Linked DNA regions of Rattus norvegicus. The protein of the gene in region 2 binds, or shares a complex with, the protein of the main gene of each other region. Links are inferred from orthologs where the notes say so. Each region holds a gene or a part of one and is shown on either strand. Other genes may lie near its edges.

Evidence for each region. The genes of interacting proteins can lie anywhere in the genome.
Region 1: Gtf2e2 (region 2) and Polr2c share a complex: the UniProt entries of both Homo sapiens proteins name them as parts of the TBP-based Pol II pre-initiation complex. The link is inferred for Rattus norvegicus from reciprocal best matches to the Homo sapiens genes GTF2E2 and POLR2C.

The regions. Positions count from the first base shown.
Region 1 is NC_086037.1:10,167,154-10,173,491, reverse strand, and holds the start of Polr2c (DNA-directed RNA polymerase II subunit RPB3), read left to right. Parts: upstream 1-2,561; 5' UTR 2,562-2,585; coding exon 2,586-2,671; intron 2,672-2,772; coding exon 2,773-2,822; intron 2,823-5,501; coding exon 5,502-5,570; intron 5,571-5,697; coding exon 5,698-5,750; intron 5,751-6,338. UniProt on the Homo sapiens protein: Core component of RNA polymerase II (Pol II), a DNA-dependent RNA polymerase which synthesizes mRNA precursors and many functional non-coding RNAs using the four ribonucleoside triphosphates as substrates.
Region 2 is NC_086034.1:65,100,681-65,105,542, reverse strand, and holds the end of Gtf2e2 (transcription initiation factor IIE subunit beta), read left to right. Parts: exon of another isoform or gene 1-1,934; coding exon 1,935-2,050; intron 2,051-2,445; coding exon 2,446-2,562; 3' UTR 2,563-3,157; downstream 3,158-4,862. UniProt on the Homo sapiens protein: Recruits TFIIH to the initiation complex and stimulates the RNA polymerase II C-terminal domain kinase and DNA-dependent ATPase activities of TFIIH. Both TFIIH and TFIIE are required for promoter clearance by RNA polymerase.

The DNA.
Region 1 (6,338 bases), on a different chromosome or scaffold from region 2:
CTTCTGGTGCCTTTTGCATTGCAGCTGTGTGTTTGAAAAATGAGACTCACATCCAAGGTTTCAAACCACAGAAACTTGGCATGACTCTGCCATGGTGTCACGGGCATCTTGATCATGTCTTGACCTTAGAACTGTTCTCTAGGAGTGGGGCATAGTGACGTATACCTGTATTCTCAGTACGCAGAAGACTGGAGAGCAGGATTGAGAGTTCAGAGGCAGGCTTGTCTATGTAGAGAATTACAAGCCTGCTTGAGCCACAGAGTGTGATCCTGTCGATCAAAATCCCCTGAGAAATATTCTTAGGGGCTCACAACCAAGGTCCAAAGGCAACACATAGTGGGGGCTCTTCCCCAGCACAGGGCAGACAGTGTGCTCACAGAGGTATTTGCCATTGGCCACTGCTCCTCTGGATCCCCTCAGAAAGCTGCCTCCCCTAGACAGGTGCCTTTTGGATGGTCATGCTGAACCTGGCATCACAGACACCAGTGTGCATTGCAGGATCATTAGTACATTTAGAGTCTGTAAAAATAATAAATATGTTTGAAACAATTTCTTATTGTTTTGTCTATACGGTGTCCATCTAGACAATGTTGAGTATCCAAGACCCCGACGGTAGACAGTAGTATATGGAAGAAGTCTGAGTTCTGACTGTGACACTTCCTTAAACCTACAGGGCCACCATGACAGCATTGCATCTCTGGGCCCAGGCAAGTGAGGGCAGTCCCAGGCCATGAGCTCCTTGTCTGCTCCTACTCTCTGACTACATGAGGGCAATCTTTAGCTTTCATAGTCCTCCAGCCTTTACACTGGCTGTTTCCTTTGTGCCCATGGTTTGCACTGCCTTCTGCTGTACTCCTGTTTAAATCAGCTGACGGGGAAAGCTGAGTTTCCGTTCTTGTCCACTGGACTTTCTGTCGGGCTCTTTTCGAACCTCTGATTTTTTTGTCTCGACGTCCCATAAAGTTACTGCCATGATTACAGTTCATCTTTTCTCTATCCTTTTTAGCATCCCTCTCACTCAGCAGACAAGTGGGACTCACAATTCCCAGGGATGGTGTGTACTGTGAGCAGGCCCCCTCTGTATGGGCATTGTTGGAGTATATGTTGGGGACCTTTGAGATGGCTCAGTGGGTGAGAGCATTTGCAGTCAGGCCTGGTGTCTTTCCACGCACATGATGTGTTGTACCGTCTCTCACACACACATGTATTTTGATTTTCATGTGTATGCGTTACAGCACTCTCTCTGACATCAGCTCGGGTGTGGGTCTTTTGTTGTTTGCTTCTTTGCGCACTATCTAACTGTCCTAAGAGCATACAGGGGATTCTTCTCTTCACCTTCCAACTCAAAGGAGCACTAAGATTACAGACTTTGGCATTACCATGCTGGCTGTTTTACGGGTTTTCTGAGAATTTGAACCTGTATCCTTGCACATCGAGTTTTCTGAGAATTTGAACCTGTATCCTTGCACATCGAGTTTTCTGAGAATTTGAACCTGTATCCTTGCACATTGGTGTTTTGGCTTTGACAGTGGGACCAGGGACTGTGGTGCGTACTTTACATATCAATGCAGAGCTGGCCCCTAGGTACTCCCAGCATCTTTCAGTCCCTACTTGTCATATTCTGCCCCCACCCTGAACTTTCCAGCTTAGAGGCTGGGTTGCCCTTCCTCAGAGGCTCTTCTCTTTCCTGTTTAATCCAGATACCTTGTGCTTTGTGCTCTCTCTCCTTTTCTCTCCCTCCCTCCCTCCCCGTCTCTCTCCCTCTCCCCTCTTTTCCCTCCCTGTCCTTCCCTTGGTGACTCCCCTGGCCTCCATTCTTGGGGGCCAGTGAACTTGCCTGAGAACAGCTTCCCAATAAACCTACCTTTTAATATGTTCTAGTTTGACTTGAATTGACTCATTTCTCTGGCAGAGAAATAACCTGTCAGTCGTTTTACACAATGAGCCACCTCCCTAGCCATTTTATTTATGTTTAGATGTACAGCTTCCATCTTTTAAAAGGCTTTATTGTATTCCTACACATTTAAAAATTATTCTTATGTATATGGGTGTTTTGCTTGCATGTATGCTTGTGCACCATTTGACTACCTGGTGCCCTCAGATGCCAGGAAAGAGATTCCTTAGAAACTGGAGCTAAAGATGTTAGACGTCATATGGATGCTGGGAATACAATCCAACTCTTAGGGAACAGCAGCCAGTGCTCTTATCTCCACATCCCCGTATGTACGTTTAACCAAGCCTCTATCAATTTTTTTTTTTGGTTCTTTTTTTCGGAGCTGGGGACCGAACCCAGGGCCTTGCGCTTCCTAGGAATTTTTATTATTATTTTTAGCAATTACAAATAACATTGGCGTGAATGACCCTGTCCGTGAAATTTTGTGCTGTGTATCTTGGGGATTTCAAGAGCATAGGACCAGTGCATGTAGCCAGTGTGGTTAGAAAACACAGGCCAGGAGTTCCGGCCTCCGGTCAGCAGGTGGCACTGCGCCCACGTCTAGCCGGAAGCGCCCGGGTGCCCCGCCGACAAACTGGTGGTCGCGCAGGCGCGCTGTGGGGCTGGCGCGGGAGACAGGCAGCCGGTCGTGATGCCGTACGCCAACCAGCCAACCGTGCGGATCACGGAACTCACTGAAGAGAACGTCAAGTTCATTATCGAGAACACGGACCTGGCGTAAGGAGGCGAGGGGAGAGGCGGGCGGCCGGGGCCTCGGGCTCCTGACCCCGGGGCTGTGTCTTCGGGGCCTCTCACGCTGCCTGCCTTTCCTCCTGTAGGGTGGCCAATTCCATTCGGAGGGTCTTCATCGCAGAGGTGCCCATAATAGGTAAGCGACCCTCCCTCGGAGCCGGTGCCGCCGTCCCTCCGCCCCGGGTGGGAGCTGAGAACACTGAGGAGGTGCACGCCGGGCTGCGGCTGCCTAGGCCCGCCTCGGTGCGTGCCTTGCTCGGCAGCGGGGATTCCAACTCTGTTCGTCTACCCAAAAGCAACAGAAATCAAGACTAAGCACTATTAAAACAGCCGAGGGCTGCAGCCTCCTCATCCGTAAGGTGACCCTAGGTTAGCGGGTGATACAGAGATTACTGAAGTAATGTAGATGGTGCGCTTTTGCTTTTTTTTTTTGGTTCTTTTTTTCGGAGCTGGGGACCGAACCCAGGGCCTTGCGCTTCCTAGGCAAGCACTCTACCGCTGAGCTAAATCCCCAGCCCCTGCGCTTTTGCTTTTAAGTCAGTGTTCGTTACTGGTTGGCGTCTTTTGAAAATGTCTGTTAATTTTACAAAATAACAGACTACGTAATGACATTTTTTAAATCTACACACAGAGTGATTTCTCCCGTCCTTCCGTCCTTCCAGATAGTACCCTGCTATACTTTCTTTTCTTCTCCCCCTATCTTCTTTAGAACATATTTATTTACATATATGTGTATATCTCTGGGCTCGAGAGTACCATAGTTCATGTGTGAAGGTCAGAGTACAGTTTGTGGGAGGGATTCTCTTCTCCCACCATGTGTGTCCCAGGGATTGACCTCGATAAGGCTTGACAACAAGTAAGTACCTTTATCCCGCTAAACCATCTTGTAGGCCCTGAACTCTCCTTTTATTTAAAAAGGGGAGGGGGAGGGAGGGAGGGAGGGAGGGAGGGAGAGAGAGAGAGAGAGAGAGAGAGAGAGAGCGCCCACATGAGAGAAAGCATGTGTGTTATTAAACTTTTCTTTTACAAACAGCATACTTTAGTTCTTTATGGTTGAAGTGTGTGTGAGTGAGAGACAGACAGATAAGACAGACTACAGGGTTTTTTGTATTTATTCTGGTGTCTTTTTTTTTTTTTTAATGAATTTCTTATTTCTGTAGATCATGTAAGTTTCCAGGTGAAGTCAAGAAATGAGCAAACATAACACAAGGCAAAATATGACAGCTGTCTTCAGGAGAGTCTAAACAGTTTTGTTTGTTTGTTGTTTGTTTTGAGAGAAAGGAAGGAGACCAAAAGAAGGGGATGGAGCATTTGTAGATACGCACACACAGGGTTTTTATACCGGGAGTTCCCACCAGGGGTTAAGGGATGGGGAGTAGATTAAGGGCATTGAGGGGGCCCTGGAAGTAAAGCGTCAGGAAGCCTCACCCTTGCTAGGGTTGAAGAAGCGCTGCAGGGAAGGGCAGGCTGGGCCTGTCCTCGCCTGGTCTTCTGACCTCTCTTCCTTGTGCCTATGGCAGCTGCTTGAGAACTGGGCTCCCACACCATTTGATTTCTGAACATCATTGTTTATGTGCAGGTGTTTGCTTATGGGCGATTAGGTACAGGTTTAAGTTAAGCTTCTGTGTGTGTACAGTCCCGTATGCCCAGCATTGAACTGAGAGGGGTTGGATTTATTGTTAGTGTGCTTTCCCTGTTGAAGCCATCCAGTGAACCATCCCTTGATGGGAGTAACACTGAAATTCTAAGTGGGCTCTCTGGTGATATCATAAATAAGGTGTGGGCCATGAACTTGTGATGTTTTACTTTTTACTCTTGAGATGTTTTCCCTAACTTGAAAATTTTTAAATTTTTTTTTTAATATTTATTTATTTTATGTATGTCAGTACACTGTTGCTGTCTTCAGACAAACCAGAAGAGGGCTCCAGATCCCATTACAGATGGTTATGAGCCACCATGTGGTTGCTGGGAATTGACCTCAGCACCTCTGGAAAAGCAGTCAGTGCTCTTAAGGGCTGAGCCATCTCTCCAGCCCTTTAAATTGTTTTTAACTGTCTCTGTGTGTAGGTGTTTACAGGTGAATGCAGGTGCCAGAGGTGCCCAGGAGTCTCAGATCCCCCTGAAGCTGGAGTTACAGGGGTTGTGAGCTACCTGACATGGGTGCCAGGAACCCTTCCCCCCCCCCTTTTTTTCAGAGCTGGGGACCGAACCCAGGGCCTTACGCTTGCTAGGCAAATGCTCTACCTCTGAGCTAAATCCCCAACCCTGCCAGGAACCTCTTAACCTCTGAGCCATTCCTCCAACCCATGTTTCCCTCAACTTTTAGGTGCCCAAATAGCTTTTATTCTTGGATTTGGTATTGGCACAGGTAGCTGGTTTAAAGTACTCAATTCCCTAAATATCTCTAAATTCTCTGAGGTAGGTAGGGGTGTATGTGTATCACTAACAAGGCCTATACCCAGTTCACTGGGGCAGGAAGATTATATATATGAAATGTGGAAGGCCTAAACCTGGAGCTAAACTTTGAAGCCTCTTACAGCCTAGTCTGGCCTGGTCTGGTCACCTTCAACTTTGTAAGCACTGACTTGATTCTTTCTTTTTTGTTTGTTTTGGTTTTTTTTGTTTTTGTTTTTGCTTTGGAGACACTGTTTTTCTTTTGTAGCCCTAGCTGTCCTGGAACTCAATTTGTAGACAAGGCTGGCCTCTGCCTCCCGAGTGCTGCTGGGCACTGAGTGATGTGAGACAGTGCTATAGGTCTGTAAATGAATCTGATGGCTAGTTCTCATTCGTCCTGTCTTGTTGCCGCCTTTTCCAGCCATTGACTGGGTTCAGATTGATGCCAACTCCTCGGTCCTTCATGATGAATTCATCGCGCACAGGCTTGGTGAGTGCCGGTGTTGAGGAAGAGATCAAAGTGGGATGCTCCCTGTCCCTAGCCTGCCTGACCTCTGAGGTTCTTGTGGTGGCTTGGCTGTTGGCTGTTCTGCAGAGCACTTTTCTGTGTCTTGCAGGTTTAATCCCCCTCACTAGTGATGACATTGTGGACAAGCTGCAGTACTCCCGGGTACGTGTGTTGGCAGATAGACAGGAAGCACAGGTCGGGGGAGGGGGGTCCAGTTCTCCCTGGGATCTTTCTGGGCATCTTCCTTCCAGCTGACTGTAGCATGCTCATTGTTGAGATGATGTCTTAGTAGTGTGGTCCTTGGTTCTGATGGGGCTTCACATTGCTCTCAGCACATCCAGGCATCATCACGGGCAGGTGTGGCGGCACATGCCTCTAGGCTCAGCTTGGGAAGCAGAGGCAGGTGGATCTGTTTGAGTTCCAGGACAGCCAGGGCTGTACAGAGAAACCCTGTCTCAAAACAACCAAAAGGGTGGGGGAACACAGCCACTTTTATGTGTGTGTATGTCTGCCTCTGTCTGTGAAGGTGGGCTAGGGTCAAAAGAGGGCATCGCTCGGAGCCCCTGGAGCTAGTTATAGGCAGTTGTGAACTACTGGGTGTTGCTCTGGCAGCTGAGCCGTAGTCACTTTTAACAGCCAGCCTCACACCCTTCATCCACTTATTGTTTCCATTTTTTGTGTTAGTTTTAAGGAACTCTCGCTATGTAGCCCTGGCTGGCCTTGAACTGAAATCTGCCTGCCCTGCCTCCT
Region 2 (4,862 bases):
ATGAGATAAGTCGTCCCTCTCCAAACAAACGAAAGAGGAAAACACCAGACATGGTTTATTCAGACTGCTGACCACTGAAGATAAAGACAGTGAGGGAAGAGAAGGAGTCATTACAGAGGGACAAATAATTACAGCAGAGCTCTTAAAAAACTCTGTGTGCGTCTGTCATTAATCTTAATTGAGTTTACTGCTGCACAGAGTATGGGATAAAAACCTCCTTTTCTGCTTGTAGGTTCAATTATTTTTCTGGCCCACTTTATTTTTTTCGTGTGGGTGTTTTGCATGCATGTATATCTGTATGCACTTACAGGAGACCCACAGAGGCCAGAACTGAAATTAAGAGCCACCATGCAGGTGCTCAGGAAGCCAACCAGGTCCTCTGGAGGAGTAGTTGGTGCTCCTAACTGCTGAGATATCTCTCCAGCCACACTTGCTCCCCAACCCAAGACACTATTAAAGAGACTTCGTTTCATTTTCTGTTTTTAACATCTTTATTAAAAATCAACTGAGATATTTATTTTAGTGGATGTTAAGACAATCCTCTCTGTACTCTGTGTTCTGTTTCATAGGTTGACATTTCTTTATTTTTAGGCTGCTTTGATTACTGTAGCTTTGCAATGCGGTTTGTGGTCGTGTTGTCTCTTGCCTCCAGCTCTGTTCCTTTTAGCTTAAGATTGCTGTCCTAGTCTTTTGTTAAGTTATGAAGCAAAGCGGCTTATTCAGAGGCTTTCTTGTTAGAATTCTGGGGTATAGGGTGTCAAGTGTTGAAGGTGTGGGAACACACTAAACAATAGCCAGACTAGCTGTGTGAACTTTGATTCTTGAAATAATGCATTAGTCGCTTGCATGTTTTCACATGCACATAGCCTTAGTCGCCATTTGTTTGTTTTAGATTGAAAGAATTTGGAAAAAAATTTATCTTTTTTTTTTTTTGCATGAGTATTTTGCCTGCATGTATGTTGGTGCTCTTAACTGCTGAGCAGGGCAGTGGAGGTCACATGGGTGTGAGAGCCCCCAGAACTTGAGTTAGAGATGGTTGTGAGCCACCTTGTAGGTGGGTGCTGGGAATCAAATCTTAGGTCCTCTTGAAGAACAGCCTTAACCACTGAGCCATCACATAGCTTGCAAATGAAGTATGTGACAGTCTGCAGGACGGCTAGGGGACTGGCAAGGATGGGAGGTGCATGTTGGTGTAGGGGTTGGCATCATAGTCAGGAGCTTTCCCTTTCTCGGCTTCCAGAATACACGCTGCAAGACTGCATCACAGGTGGGTGTGTGTGGGGAAGGCTTCAAGGCTGCTCATGAGCCTGGTCGGGAGAGCTGTCTTTAGGAGCAGAATTGAAAGCATAAAGGATTTTTGTTTTGTACATATCCAGTATGAGAATGAGATATCTAGGAGACACTTGCCTTTTTCCTTTGTTCATGGTAAGGAGTGTTCTCCTCTTCCTCTTCATCCTCTTCCTCTTCCTTCTCCTCCTCCTCAAGTGCTAACTGCCTCTTCCCTTTGAAGATGGGAGAAGCTTCAACTACAGCACCCTCCTCCAGCTAAATCATAAAACATAGAGCACACTGGTGGTCCTGTCAGACGCCTTCCAGGTCACATGACCTACTGGTGCTTCTTCCAGCTTTGACATACGTTTGCTCTGTGTCTGTGTCTGTCTCTTTCCTTCTTTTTTGAGACAATGTCTCACTATGTATCCTCATTGTTTGCCTGGAACTTGCTATGTTAGGTGGGGTTGGCCTTGAACTTGCGGAGGTCTGCCTGCTTTGCTTCCCAAGTGCCGGGGTTTAAGGTATTTCTTTGTTTTCTTAGTGAAATCTCAGACGTGTTAATTTAGGCCCAGGACATATAATCTTCAAGGTGAATTTTGATCGCCAGGATGTTATGGTTTATACAAATTTATGGAAAAATAACTGCTGTCTTCTTGGTATAGAGTTCCAGAAACTGTGGAGGAGTGTTACTGTGGATTCAATGGATGAGGAGAAAATTGAAGAGTATCTGAAGCGACAGGGTATTTCTTCCATGCAGGAATCTGGACCAAAGAAAGTGGTATGTAGTCTTTAGAAAAGCAGTTTGTCCTTTCTCTTAACAGTTAGCTGCTTCTCATCCTGCTCTCCAACTATTGAGGAAGTGATTCCCTTTGATGGAGACAGCACAGAAATTCACTGCCTCTTAATGACTCAATAAGTTGTGTTATGCTTTCGTGCCTGCCTGTTCTTTTCCAGTGGAGGTTTATAAAGCCTCGTGGTGTCAGAAGGCACCAGGTCTAGCTGGAGGCTGGGTATGTGCTGTGAAGGGGGTGTTTGAGGCTGGGCCTCCAAGCAAGAACCAGGGAAGGCTCAGAACCCTGTGCCTATGCTGCTGGTCTTTGGGCTTGTTGAGTAAATGTTAACCATCTGCCCCTAGGGTCACTTGTGTTTAACTGTCTTTACCTTGTCCTGCAGGCCTCTATTCAGAGAAGGAAAAAGCCTGCTTCACAGAAAAAGCGACGGTTTAAGACTCACAATGAACACTTGGCTGGAGTGCTGAAGGATTACTCGGACATTACCCCTGGCAAATAGGGAATATTTTTATCCATAAAGTTACAGACGCACAGTCAAGATCTTTCTTGATGCTCTCGGGATCTGAAGACTTTCTGCCTTCCCGTCTGCTCCTCAGGACTGAGGAGAGGAGCAATTCAGTTTACAGAACAGGAGCGGATTACCAAACTCATTATTTTCATCCAGCAGGCTAGTGGGACTGGGTGTTCCTGTTTAACTTTCTGGGTTTGTTTGTTTTATTTTACTAGAAAGACACTTAGCATGGCACTCAGGTGTCTGCTGTTTATCTTGATTTCTAAATGGTTCTGGATTCCATGTTTTCTCTTCTGCTTTAGAACAAGTTGGAAGATAGTGCTGAATACAGCCTTTGTTTATTCCAAGAGAAATATTTATAATAAAATCATTTGTAGGAAGATCTTTAAGAAGTTAGGAATTTCAGTTTGTCTCTTCTTGAAAATGGCAGGGAGCAGCTGCAGTCCCTGACTTGTCTGGATGGGTGTTTGGGATGTGACAGAGACTGGAGTCAGTACTGTTGGCACGCTTGAGGACTTGATCTTTGGAACACAGGGTATGCCTCTGGTCAATAAGCTGAGCAATAAAAGTACACTAAATATAATTGTTATGCTTTCTTTTAAAAGGCTAAGCAGTTAATACATTGGATTCATGATTTGCTACCACCTTGAACATGAATGGGGAAACTCTTCTTGCCAACCTGAACATTCGCTTCACCATAGCCCAGTTCTCACTTGAGAGATGTTCTGGCCATTTCTACTGAGGGGCCCTCTGTCATTTGTTACAGTCCAGTTCAATAAAAGCCATTACCAAGTATGGTGAATTTGTAGGGTTTTCCCTGTACTTTGAAGAAGGCATTTCTTTTTTTCTTTTTTTTTTTTGGTTCTTTTTTTTCGGAGCTGGGGACCAAACCTAGGGCCTTGCGCTTCCTAGGTAAGTGCTCTACCACTGAGCTAAATCCCCAGCCCCGAAGAAGGCATTTCTTACCTGCACTTTCCTCTTACGTGCCACGCTCCTTTGAGTTGATCAATCTCGGGTCTTATCTCACATATTAAATGATGTTAGGATATAAAAGCCAGGTTTGACATCCTCAGAAAAGGTGGGACTGTAACCCAAAGCACTGGACTCTGATGAATACTTCATTCATTGCTTTACCTTTTTTTTTTTTAACCTCTGAGCTCCAAAATACAATCTAAGAAGATGTCACATTGTGGTTTCCATATCAGTTAGAATATAAGGAATGTATTGTCTTACTTGGTGTCTCAAGGTTTTTGCTCATAGGATCTGTAATGCTTCCCCATAAATTTAGAATTCACTTACCTCTTAGCAGTACCTCCACTTGCAAACCATGTTCTCCAAGCTAGGTTATGGCCAAGGTCTGGAAGGGCAAGTCTGTCTGTCTTCCTGCTTCATCTGGCTTTATAAGGAAGGAGGCAGACCTGAGGCCTCCTGGACAGGTAGGTGCTCATATACATGCTTTACTGTCAGGTCTGTGCTGGTGATTTCTAGCTCAGCCTGCCCTTGTTTGTTTTCTTAGGGACTGGTCTAATAATTAATTCTATTTTTTACCTCACTCCACAGAAATGAAGAAACTAAATCTAGAAAAACTAGTATCTCATTGTCAAACTGTAAATTCTCTAATTTTGTTTCATTCGCTTGCATTGTCTTCCATGCCACTGTTCTCTTTGTTGTTCTCTGTGCTGAAGTACTAGACGGTATCACTGGGAGGTGTGTAGGGAATAGATAGTCTCCGTGGGAAGCTTAAGAGCTTGGTTGTGTTCAGTGGCTTTAATAGAAAAGAAAAGATTCTGGCAGCAGTTCTTCTGGGTGACTAGTCATTCCTCCAGAAATTTCAAGTTGAAGTCTTGGTCTCACCTCTGTCTGTTCGTGTCAGATCTGCTGCCATTTAGAAGCAGGTGGGAGAATCGAAAGGCCCAGGCAGTCTTCAGTGCATCTGATCTATAATTCATCCCAGTCACAAGAAGCTTTTAGGACTAGCTAAGGGAAATGTAGTTGAACTTAGATAAAGTATAAAAAAATGACCATTTGGCTGCTGCTGTCACAGCCTGTAAATGTGGTCAGATGATGGGTGGACCCAGGGGATGGAGAAACACTCAAGACTTGTTGATGTGAGTACTGGGAAAAAGCCGCGTTGGAACTTCAGTCCTGCTACTTCTGGGGAATCTGCGGATGTACAGCCCTGGATTTCTCTCGTGAGCCTTTGTTCGGAATCACTAGAGCAGAAGCATGTTCTGAAGGTAGGCACTCATGTGGGACAAATACATTTGGATTTATTGAACTTCCCAGTT